3 linked regions of the Astyanax mexicanus genome follow. The protein of the gene in region 2 interacts with the protein of the main gene of each other region in a biochemical or structural test. Links are inferred from orthologs where the notes say so. Each region holds a gene or a part of one and is shown on either strand. Other genes may lie near its edges. The genes, in order: D-aspartate oxidase-like, pex5 and pex13.

The links.
Region 1: the proteins of pex5 (region 2) and D-aspartate oxidase-like form a complex in vitro, tested with the Homo sapiens proteins (2 studies listed by BioGRID, with this or other methods). The link is inferred for Astyanax mexicanus from reciprocal best matches to the Homo sapiens genes PEX5 and DDO.
Region 3: the proteins of pex5 (region 2) and pex13 form a complex in vitro, tested with the Homo sapiens proteins (3 studies listed by BioGRID). The link is inferred for Astyanax mexicanus from reciprocal best matches to the Homo sapiens genes PEX5 and PEX13.

What each region holds. Positions count from the first base shown.
Region 1 is NC_064421.1:17,749,820-17,753,576, forward strand, and holds the start of D-aspartate oxidase-like, read left to right. Parts: upstream 1-1,444; 5' UTR 1,445-1,633; intron 1,634-2,484; exon of another isoform or gene 2,485-2,560; intron 2,561-2,718; exon of another isoform or gene 2,719-2,739; intron 2,740-3,757. UniProt on the Homo sapiens protein: Selectively catalyzes the oxidative deamination of acidic amino acids. Suppresses the level of D-aspartate in the brain, an amino acid that can act as an agonist for glutamate receptors. Protects the organism from the toxicity of D-amino acids.
Region 2 is NC_064413.1:6,432,696-6,436,452, reverse strand, and holds the start of pex5 (peroxisomal biogenesis factor 5), read left to right. Parts: upstream 1-936; 5' UTR 937-1,060; intron 1,061-1,219; exon of another isoform or gene 1,220-1,511; intron 1,512-3,619; 5' UTR 3,620-3,663; coding exon 3,664-3,757.
Region 3 is NC_064421.1:35,743,100-35,746,856, reverse strand, and holds the start of pex13 (peroxisome biogenesis factor 13), read left to right. Parts: upstream 1-1,363; 5' UTR 1,364-1,438; coding exon 1,439-1,509; intron 1,510-3,757. UniProt on the Homo sapiens protein: Component of the PEX13-PEX14 docking complex, a translocon channel that specifically mediates the import of peroxisomal cargo proteins bound to PEX5 receptor.

The sequences.
Region 1 (3,757 bases), on a different chromosome or scaffold from region 2:
TCACACTAGAACATCAGCTTTATATTAAATTTTTTTGTGCATTATGGATCGGTAGGCCATGTTGCCAGTTAATTTTAAAGTATAAAATCAGCTCGGGCCAGGCTAATTCCAGGTTTTCCTTAAAGTAGCAGACTAGTTCTCTTCAGATCATGTGTATTTGTTCTGGCCCAAGATTAAAAAGTCCTTCAAAATCACACTAGAACATCAGCTTTATATAAAATTTTTGTGTGCATTATGGATCGTTATTCCATGTTGCCAGTTCATTTTAAAGTATAAAATCAGCTCGGGCCAGGCTAATTCCAGGTTTTCCTTAAAGTAGCAGACTAGTTCTCTTCAGATCATGTGTATTTGTTCTGGCCCAAGATTAAAAAGTCCTTCAAAATCACACTAGAACATCAGCTTTACATAAAAAAAATTGTGCATTATGGCTCGTTATACCATGTTGCCAGTTCATTTTAAAGTATAAAATCAGCTCGGGCCAGGCTAATTCCAGGTTTTCCTTAAAGTAGAAGACTAGTACTCTTCAGATCATGTGTATTTGTTCTGGCCCAAGATTAAAAAGTCCTTCAAAATCACACTAGAACATCAGCCTTATATTAAATTTTTTTGTGCATTATGGATCGTTATTCCATGTTGCCAGTTCATTTTAAAGTATAAAATCAGCTCGGGCCAAGCTAATTCCAGGTTTTCCTTAAAGAAGAAGACTAGTACTCTTCAGATCATGTGTATTTGGTCTGGCCCAAGATGAAAAAGTCTTTCAAAATCACACTAGAACATCAGCTTTACATAAAAAAAATTGTGCATTATGGCTCGTTATACCATGTTGCCAGTTCATTTTAAAGTATAAAATCAGCTTGGGCCAGGCTAATTCCAGGTTTTCCTTAAAGTAGAAGACTAGTTCTCTTCAGATTATGTGTATTTGTTCTGGCCCAAGATTAAAAAGTCCTTCAAAATCACACTAGAACATCAGCTTTATATTCAATTTTTTGTGCATTATGGATCGGTAGGCCACGTTGCCAGTTAATTTTAAAGTATAAAATCAGCTCGGGCCAGGCTAATTCCAGGTTTTCCTTAAAGAAGAAGACTAGTACTCTTCAGATCATGTGTATTTGTTCTGGCCCAACATGAAAAAGTTCTTCAAAATCACACTTGAACATCTGCCTCATATTTTTTGAGCGCAATGGCTTTTAAAATATAATTTTATTAAATATATATTTAATTATTTATTGTAATATATAATTATAAATTCAGTAATTAAAATAAATATTTTACAATATACAAAATTACATTTAATACGATATTGTATATTTACATTGTTAATAAAGAGATGTACTGCTTTTCTTCATTCTATCTCCTTCAGTGTTGATCTGTGAGGTGTTTAATATAAACAGCGGGTGTTTGTGAACGCTCCCTTTAGTTCACGGTGGTTCAGTGAAGCGGCAGCTGCGAATATCAAACCAACTTCAGCCGGGGAATACGAGGCTGCGAATATCGAGCCAAACGAATCTGGAGCTGCGAATATCAAACCAACTTCAGCCTCGTGTGCGGCTCTAGGTCGGATCTGTTTGGGCAGAGAGCGGGTTCTGGAATCGCAGCTGTCAGTCCGTCCATTATCCTGCACACGAATAACGGGGTGAGAGCACAGCCTGCCTGCAGCACTTTCAGCACAGACATATGCCCAGTTTGGAGACTCCAGTATTTAGCAGAATTGACGTTAAACTGCAGTTTTAATAAAGGAATAGGGGGACGGGTTTGGTCGCTTGCTTTTAAAATGTTGCATTTTAATTGCAGTTTTTTTTTTTATATGCGCTATCCAGGACCTGAAATTGACATTGTGCTGACCTAAATATATTTAACTTTCAGGACCTTTCTTTTCGGATTAGAGACGTCTCAATAAATATCGCGAGATTTTGAGTAGCTGCGTGCAGAGCCATGGCTCTGGCTGCGTGTCGCCTTAGTTCACCAGGTTTATGAAAAGCCCAGAGCCATAGAGATGTGTAACCAACTTCGTATCTCCCGTTATATATACTGCGAACCGCTAGAGGGAGCCCACGAGGGAGACCAAAACGAATGGAAGTGTATGGAGCCAAACGGCTAAAAACACTGATTAAAAGTAGTAACTATCCACGTGTCCAAGATAACAATTTAAATTTTTTTAAGTAAACGTATACGTTTTGCTAAACAAGCAAAGTAAGCTTACATATATTTGTCAAATATTCTACAGTAAACAGGTTTTAGGCATTAAATGTGCTAGCATTACTGCTACTGTGCGCAGTTGGCCAGTTGATGCTAGAATTTCTGCAAGAGATCAGAGAGCACATTTAAAAAGCTTATTAATAGATTTTAAAAGCTTTAAAATTATGTATGTGGTGCCGAAACATTTAATATTGTAAGCAGATTTTGCTCATTTGCTCCTTATGAGTCCATTCATTTTGGAGTCACATTTGACCGGCCACTGGGGTCAAACAAACCTAGAAGAGATCCTCAAGTGGGTACTCTCACCGCTATTAGAGATTCTCTGCTTGTTGTAGCTGAGACTGGGTTGCTGGTTTCTTCTACGGTGAGCATTCAGCTGCTCTCATGTATGACAATACTTGAAGGTGTATCCTAGAGCTTAGCTTTTAAAACGCTGCTTCAGTGTAGGATGATATTTTGGTTTTGAAAAGAGGAGACTGGGGTCAAGTGTAACGGTTATCAGTTTTTTTTTCTCGAGTATCTGGTTTCCATCTTTGCATCTTGGTATGATCCAACTTACATTTACTTTACAATTATCCATTTTCAAATTTCTCCTCAAACGTTCATACTGTTTTAAAAATATTTTATTATATTTAAGAAGTCAAGTCGAACAGTTTCCACGTGCAGCCCACGCAAACTACCGATCTCTTATAAAAGAAACCAAACAGGAAATTGCTCTGATATTGTGGCATTAAACTGCATATATATGAGCTAGAATAACAGCTATGTATGGATGACACCTATATTACTATTAGGAGAAATTATAAATTGTAAGCACCGAAAACTGTCTTATTTATATGAAAGAAAATTATATTATATCAAAACAATTAATAAAAATAAAAAAAAGTCTGTTAGATTGTGTTACCAAAGCAAACATTAGCATGTTTTAAACTGTAGCTAAGTGTTTACGTGGAGAAGAGAGGGAGCCTGTTTACGGGAGAGATAGTTAATTACATACACTAAGCTCTATATTGCAAAAAGTACCCCATCTCTCCGGCATTGTGGTTGGTGATCTAAGGCCATGGAAACCCATTCCATGAAGCTCTACCTTCATTAACATAGCTGACAAATACGTGCAGAGCGTTGTGCGAATAAAACCTCCCAAATATAATAGTCACCAAAGACAAGGTATTTGTTCAGGCCCGTCCACAAGTCACTATATATACTTTAAATAAAACAGTAAAGTCTGCAGCGCTAAGCACATTTTTTTAAAGAGTAACTTATACAGCAGCTTACCTTTACTGTTGGGACAGTCTTGTGTTGTTTTGGTCCTTCTGTTGAAATTGAAAATAGTTCTGGGGTTTTGAAGACTAGTTTTAGAAGCGCTCACAGGTGTAAATACTTAAAATAAATACTGTAAATAAGGTAATATCTGTAATATCCAGGTAAAGTTACGAGGCTGGATGCAGCAGAAGTAGTTAGCATTTTAACTAACGTTAGTTGTAGTCGGGTTTTATTTTTCCGATGATAATTAATCCAAAGTAGAGTCTCTGGTATCCTCTCTCAGCTCGTCTGGATGCGC
Region 2 (3,757 bases):
ATGAAAACAGTTGACATTGAGAAGAAAGATGCAATATTATGAGGACCAACACAAAGGCTCTTGAGCAAGACCCTTAAACCTCACTGCTTCTCAGGCACCACAGCGATGCATCCAGGCATGTGTTCTCACTGTATCACTGTGTGAGAGTACTTACTAGTATGTATGTATCAGTGATGGTTTGGAGAGTCATGCCATCTGCTGGTGTTGATGCACTGTGTTATATCAAGTCTAAAGTCAGTGCAGGGTTTCCCTGGAAAATCTTACTGCACTAAATGGTTGCCTCTGCTGACAACTTTTATGGAGATGCAGATTTCATTGTCCAGCAGGACTTGGGCACACATCCCACTCTGCCAAAAGTACCAACTGGTCTTAATAAAAATATTAATAATAATATTCTTATTTTCTGACACACTGATTTTTGGGTTTTCATTGTCTGTAAGCCATAATCATCAACAATAAAAGAAATAAACGCTAAAATATATATAAATCACCCTGTGAGTTCCACATTTTTAACTGAATTACTGAAATAAAGTAACTTTTTTAAGTTATATATATATTTTTTAGATATGTTATTAAGTCAATTGTTTTTATTTTTTTAAGAGTGGCCCTAATAAGCTGTACACATACATAAATAAACAAGTTTGGTGAGAAAGAACTTGACTGGACTGCACAGAGTCCTTACCATAACCTTATAGAAAACACCTTTGGGATGAATTAGAGTGGAGTCAGGACTTAAAATCTGACAAGGAGGTTTATGTGTGTAAAGGCAGACGAGTGAACAATTTTGACAACACTGTGTATTATACATTATACAATATAATATCCTGAAAAGCTGAAACTTTCCCAACTTGATGATTCCCCTTTAAACTTTACCTCACTGTGATTATTTGGCTGGGGTTACTGTGTGAGAGAAAGAGAGAGAGACAGTGGACTTTGAATCCGTCCTTGAACACATGACGTCTGTAACTAGCTACTTTTTAAAGCACCTTTCCTAAAGAATAAACAGCTCGAATTTAACAGCTGAGAAGCTTTAAAGTGTTTGGAGTGCAGGGGTTAAGCAGTAAGTAAGAGTTTTAAAGCAGTAACTCGAGTTTTAAAGCGAAAATTTGCTTTGCTGCTTTGCTGTCTGTTCTCTGCTGTCATTTTAGGAATCTAACGTAAGCTACGCACCGTGCGCCTGCCGCGTGTAGGCAAGCGGGAGCCTCGAGCTGCGTAACTCGCGTTGGTGAATACCACTGTGGTGTCTGTTGATTCATGCAGAGCCTTCAGTTAGTGGCGCCTCAGGTGAATAAATAAAGATTTACACGGCGAGCTGAGCAGCGCAGGACGTGCCCAGCGGCTCGCCTGAGAGCCAGCCGCTTCTTAATCGCCTCTGCTTTGTAAGTAGCCCATAGGTGACCCTGGGTGCGTCATATTTTTGGGCAGGTTGCTAAGCTAGCTAACCCAGCGACTGCTGTAATAACGACGGCGTTAGTGGCTGGAGCGGCCGGTGCTGAGCTGTGGGCTGAGCGGTGAGTTTATTAGCTAGGTTAGCTAGATTAACTCGTTTAGCATTGTAGCTACACGTATATAAGAATAAACAGTGCTATTTAAAGCTATTTAACTTGCAGTTGTTAAAGGTTAACATGATTATTAGACAGCTAAGCGAGCTAAACAATGCGCTGCTGTCCTAATAGCTACGTGCCCTCAGTCTTGGAAGTGCCTCCTGTGGTTTATTAGGTTAGCTAGCCTTCACTGATGTGTAAGTTAACCAAGGTTAGCTTAGTTTAGCTTGCTAGCTAAATAGCCGTTACGTTACTAGCAATTAAAATGCTGGTGTATAATAAATATATTAATAAGAAGAGCATAGTTTTGAACAAAGTATTGTATTTGTTCGCATTGTTACCAGAGCTGAGTGTGGCATTATTTGTGTGTGATTGGTGAGAATTGTTCCGTTCCACCTTAAATGGTGCAGATAGATCCAGCAAAAGGATGGAGCTGCTGCACCATTTAAGGTGGAACGGAACAAGTCTCATAACAAACCTAAAACAGACAAATACATGTTTAGTAGGATGTTTACATCGGTGGTGAACCCAATAGTGTCTTTTTTTAACATCTTCTTTAAAAATATACTAAAATATCTTATTATTATTATTATTATTGTTGTTAGATTCCAAAGTGGGAATGCAGTTCCTACACAGACTGCGTGTGTGATTGTGGCTCAGCTCTATTGCTGTGGTTTAAAGCTGTGATATGATGGTTGCTAGGTGGTTGCTATGGCATTGTTGTTGGTTACCAAGGTTTTTAAGTGGTTGCTAATATGTTGCCGTGGATTTAATCAGTGATGGTTCATAAAGTGTGGCTGAGTAGTTTGTAGTTTGTTGCTATGGTATTTGTGTTGGTTGCTATGGTATGGCTATATGTGGGATGGCATGTTGAGCACTTTATTCATTCCTCTCTGGAAAATCTGTATGATGATTTTTACGAAAAACGTACATTGGATAGATTTGTGACTTCTGTAAACGTTAGGTTTATGTTTGGGGTTTAGTTTTTGTTCAGATGCTTTTTGTGCAAATAGTTTTGCATTTTTTCAAAAGCTATGTGCAAGCACAAAATTCCTGATTATGATGAATGATCCATCCATCCATCCAAGCAAGTTTATAGATGAATTTGTCATTTATTGAAGACAGTAATATAATTAGTATTAGTGATACAGGCTCTGATTAGAGCTGGGCAATATGATGATATTTTATACATTCATACATTTTCTTATCACTGATTACACATCACTGTACTAAGCAGTATTTGAATAGCACTTTTTAAAAATCTGAAACTTCTGATTCCTTTTGTCTGCATGTCAGAACATTGCAATACATACTGTTTATCATAAAAATAATTTAAATATTGTAATATGATATTTTTTTCTTTACCATATTACCTAGCTCTGTCACTGTGTGATGTACATCACAGAAGGTGCTTTTTATACTGGTAATATCGATATTTCAGTTATATCGTATGGACTGAAATTAAGAAACATATCATGACATAAGTTTTGGCTATATCGTCCTGACCTAGCTGTGATATTAAAATGTACTTTTTATTGCAGAGAGCTTAATTTGACATTAAATTGTCTTAAAATATAAAAAAATATATATTTTTACAATATTGCCCAGCCCTAAATTACACTTACTGCCCAGATAAAGAGCTTTTTCATTCTGTGTGTGTGCAAACATAGCCTATAAAAATGTTGAATAAATTATAGCTAGTTTAATATGTTCACATGACCTCGCTTTCCATGGATATTAAATGTACCACAGGTATCTTTCAGGGGCAACATCTTGGAGACCTTCATATTGAGCACCCACAACTTTTATAACGTGCCCAGCGGCTAATCGTTTTAGTCCTAATCAGCTTAGGCACCATATGTTGATGCCACTGGACAGATTAGGCCAGAGGGTCAGACAGTGATAACGAGAGGAAGGGTAGGGGTGAAGTTGAAGCTGATTCTAGAGATGATGATGATGATGATAAAGTTTTTTTTATTTATCAGCCTTGTTGATAACAGACAGGTAGATCCAGAAGCTCCAGTTTGGACTATAGTGTAATAATGTTTTTTAACTTTTAACACTCTGTTTTCCAGAACCTCCCGGGTGCTTGTCGGAGCCATCCTGACCCTGGGTTACCATGGCGATGCGGGAGCTAGTGGAGGCGGAATGTGGGGGAGCCAATCCCCTCATGAAGCTAACAAGTCACATGACTCAAGAGGGGGGAGCTTGGA
Region 3 (3,757 bases), on a different chromosome or scaffold from region 2:
CCTGTGAACCTTCAAATTTCTCAGTGCCTCATTTTCAAAGTCAGGGCCCTTAGAATTTTACAGATGAAGTGTCGAGATACTTTGAGCTTATTAACAGTGTAAAATAGTGATGGAGATAACCAGGGAGATGAATCACACAATAAAGAATTGTATTGGCTCAAGGCTGTTATCTTTATTAAGCACAGATAAAATATCATAAAGCTTTGACTCTTTGACTCAGATAAGTCAAACAGTTTTCAGTCTTCCCCATTAAAAATGGAATCAAAAGATGTCAAGCAACAAAGAGTGTTACACAATAGTTCCACCTAGTGATGAAAACAGGGGTATAATATTGTCTCCTATTGTCCTGTAGTGATGTATGTTAAAATAAGGCTAACACTGCCATCACTGCTTAAACTACTACTGCTAATAATTATAATAATACTAATAATACTACTACTACTACTACTACTAATAATAATAATAATAATACAATGAAACGAAGATATTATTAATATCTCGCAAGATATTATTAATGTTATTATTATTCCTAAATTTCCTTCGGGATAAATAAAGTATCTTTCTTTCTTTCCATCCATCCATCCATCCATCCATCCATTAGCACCTTTTTATAATAGAGACATAGTTGGTTTCCCAGACAGAGTAGAGGCCTAGTTGTGGACTACATATCTCTTTTAATGTGGACACTCCTTTCACACTGTTGCATAGTCTAGTACTATGCTTTATCCCTGTCCGTTAAACCAATCCATACACATGGACATATAGATAGTCAGAAAATTAGATCACAGTAGTATTCACAGAGGATAGCTCACTTATTACAACAGCAAACAGACAGCAGTGGAAGCAGCAACACCAGATTAAAAATAAAAATAAAGTACTAATTTACAGATAATAATAAAAAAAAACTAATTTGCTAAAAAAAAATAGTTAACTGTTATAGGTATCATAGTAGTAATAGTAGTAGCAGCAGTAGTAGTAAAATAGCATCTTTACAATGCATAATAATATTACATGCATCGATATCAATAACTAGCTAAATACAAAATAGAACATATTTTTAAAACATATGAAGAACAAGTTAAAAATAAAGAAATATAATAGTAGTAATAATAATAATAATAATAATAATAATAATAAAAATAGAAATAATGTATTTTTAAACTAATGCATTCTAAATAATAATTAAAAAATATATAAAATATATATTTACAGTAATAAAATGTCTTAAATGTCTTACATATATAAGCTTAAGCCTTCATTTATGCGGTTACCTTCAAGGGGGGTAAAATCAAGTTTTTATAGGAACAAGTACACGAATATTTACGGCGTTAGCGGAATAGAAATATGAGTTTATGCAGCCGTAATTACGGTAAAGTCCAGACGCATATGAAAGCAGTAGCGCAGCAGTGGGTGGATGTCGGTTGGTTACCTCTGAATAATGTCTCAGCCGCCTCCAAAACCCTGGGAGAGACGAATTCCCGGGGCGATGCCATCCCCAGTAAACTACCGGTCAGTAACACGGTTCTCTCCAAATCCTGCTTTTCTTTCAGAAAACAGAAAAAAAAAACAGGCGTATGTGTGAACTGGCCCTGTAGCAAGGTGACAGGCCCTGTGTTGTTGTGTGTTAGCTTGATTGCTACACTAAGCTAAGCTAAACTAACCGCGTTCTTACGCAACTGAAAGTTCAAAGCACGTCATATTTTAATCCCGATAATAAACGTCTGATATTATTTAATACACATCTAGTCCATCGACAGACCCTAACTGCGTGTCAGAGTGTCCAGACTCATGTTTTAACTATAACGTGTCTTGACTGGTTTGGTGACCTACAGCTGTCGGTGGAATAAACTTTATGACTAGTATTTAAGCTAACTTAACTAACCTAAGTTTTTGTTATATTTGAATCTCATTAACTGCTATCGCAATAGCAAAATGTCCGTCCGACATAGCATACATAACAAATATAAATCACATCTTATAGGTAGCGTCTTATTCGCCAATGTCTTATTCGGATTTTCCGGTCCACCTTAAAAAGTCGAAATACCAATGATTCGCCAGTAGAGAGCAGGATTGAGCCAAGCAAAACGAGTTTGGTATTTAGGGCATATACATTGAGAATACATTGCCTGTTCTGGGTATTTCTAGTTGCCCTAAATCCAGATTATCAAATAGTCTGTTGAATTTGAAAATAGAACTAGTATACTGTGAATAGTCTAAAGACCTACGGATATTACTGTTCCTTTTTTATTATGACCCTCTTAACTTAGCATTTGAGAAGATCAAAGGAGAAAAAATGGCCTGTTCTGCATGATTCCTGTTGCCCTAACTCCATATTTTCAAATAGTCTGTTGAATTTGACACCAAAGTATGAAAATAGAACTAGTATACTGTGAATATTCAATAGAAATACAAAAATTACTGTACCATTTTGTTATTATGACCCTCTGAACTTGGCATTTAAGATGATTAAAGGAGAATAAATAGCCTGTTCTGCATATTTCCAGTTGCCCTAACTCCAGATTATCAAATAGTCTGTTGAATTTGACATCAAATTCTGAAAATAGAACTAGTATACTGTGAAAAGCCCGAAGTACTAGAAATATTATTCTACCATTTTATTATAACTCTCTGAACTTAGCACTTACAATACAATATTGAAGTAGAATAAATGGCATGTTCTACATATTTCTAGTTGCTCTTACTCCACATTATCAGTCTGTTATTATGCATGCTTATTTCTCACCTCTATATAACAATATTTCATGCAAGTGTGTGCCATATTTAAATCCTTTCCTATTACAAAACTGGTAGTATTGTTTTTCTTTTACCATCTGAATATAGGAAATTTGTTATAATTGTACTGTTATTGAATCAAGGAATGATGCATCAAGTTTTGATAACTGAAGATTTTAGTATAAATTGCAATATATATCATTGTAATATTTATTTCTGACAACAACAAGTGGGACACAATCGTGGAGTGGAATGAAATTTACTGGATATTTAAAAAAAAAATTGACATAAATAACTGAAAAGTGGGGCAATATTATTCGGCCCCTTTACTTTCAGTGCAGCAAACTCCAAGACCAAGAAACAAACCAGACAGGTCCGAGATACTGTTGTGGACAGGTTTAAAGCAGGATTTAAATACAAAAAGAGTTCCCAAGCTTTAAACATATCAAGGAACACTGTGCAACTGATCATATTGAAATGGAAGGAGTATCAGACCACAGCAAATCCACCAAGACCCGGCCATCCCTCTAAACTTTCAGCTCAAACAAGGAGAAGACTGATCAGAGATGCAGCCAAGAGGCCCATGATCACTCTGGATGAACTGCAGAGATCTACAGCTGAGGTGGGAGACTCTGTCTGTAGGACAACAATCAGTTGTATACTGCATAAATCTGGCCTTTATGGAAGAGTAGCAAGAAGAAAGTAATTTCTCTAAGATATCCATAAAAAGTCTCATTTTAAAGTATGCCACAAGCCACCTCGGAGACACCAAACATGTGGAAGAAGGTGCTCAGTCAGATGAAACCAAAATTGAACCTTTTGGCCAAAATGCAACTTTAGCAGGGACATAGAAGATGGTTAAAATTGATGGGAAGATGGATGAAGCCAAATACAGGAGCATTCTGGAAGAAAACCTGTTGGAGTCTGCAAAAGACCTGAGACTCGGACAGAGATTTGTCTTCCAACAAGACAATGATCCAAAACATAAAACAAATTCTACAATGAAATGCTTCACACATAAATG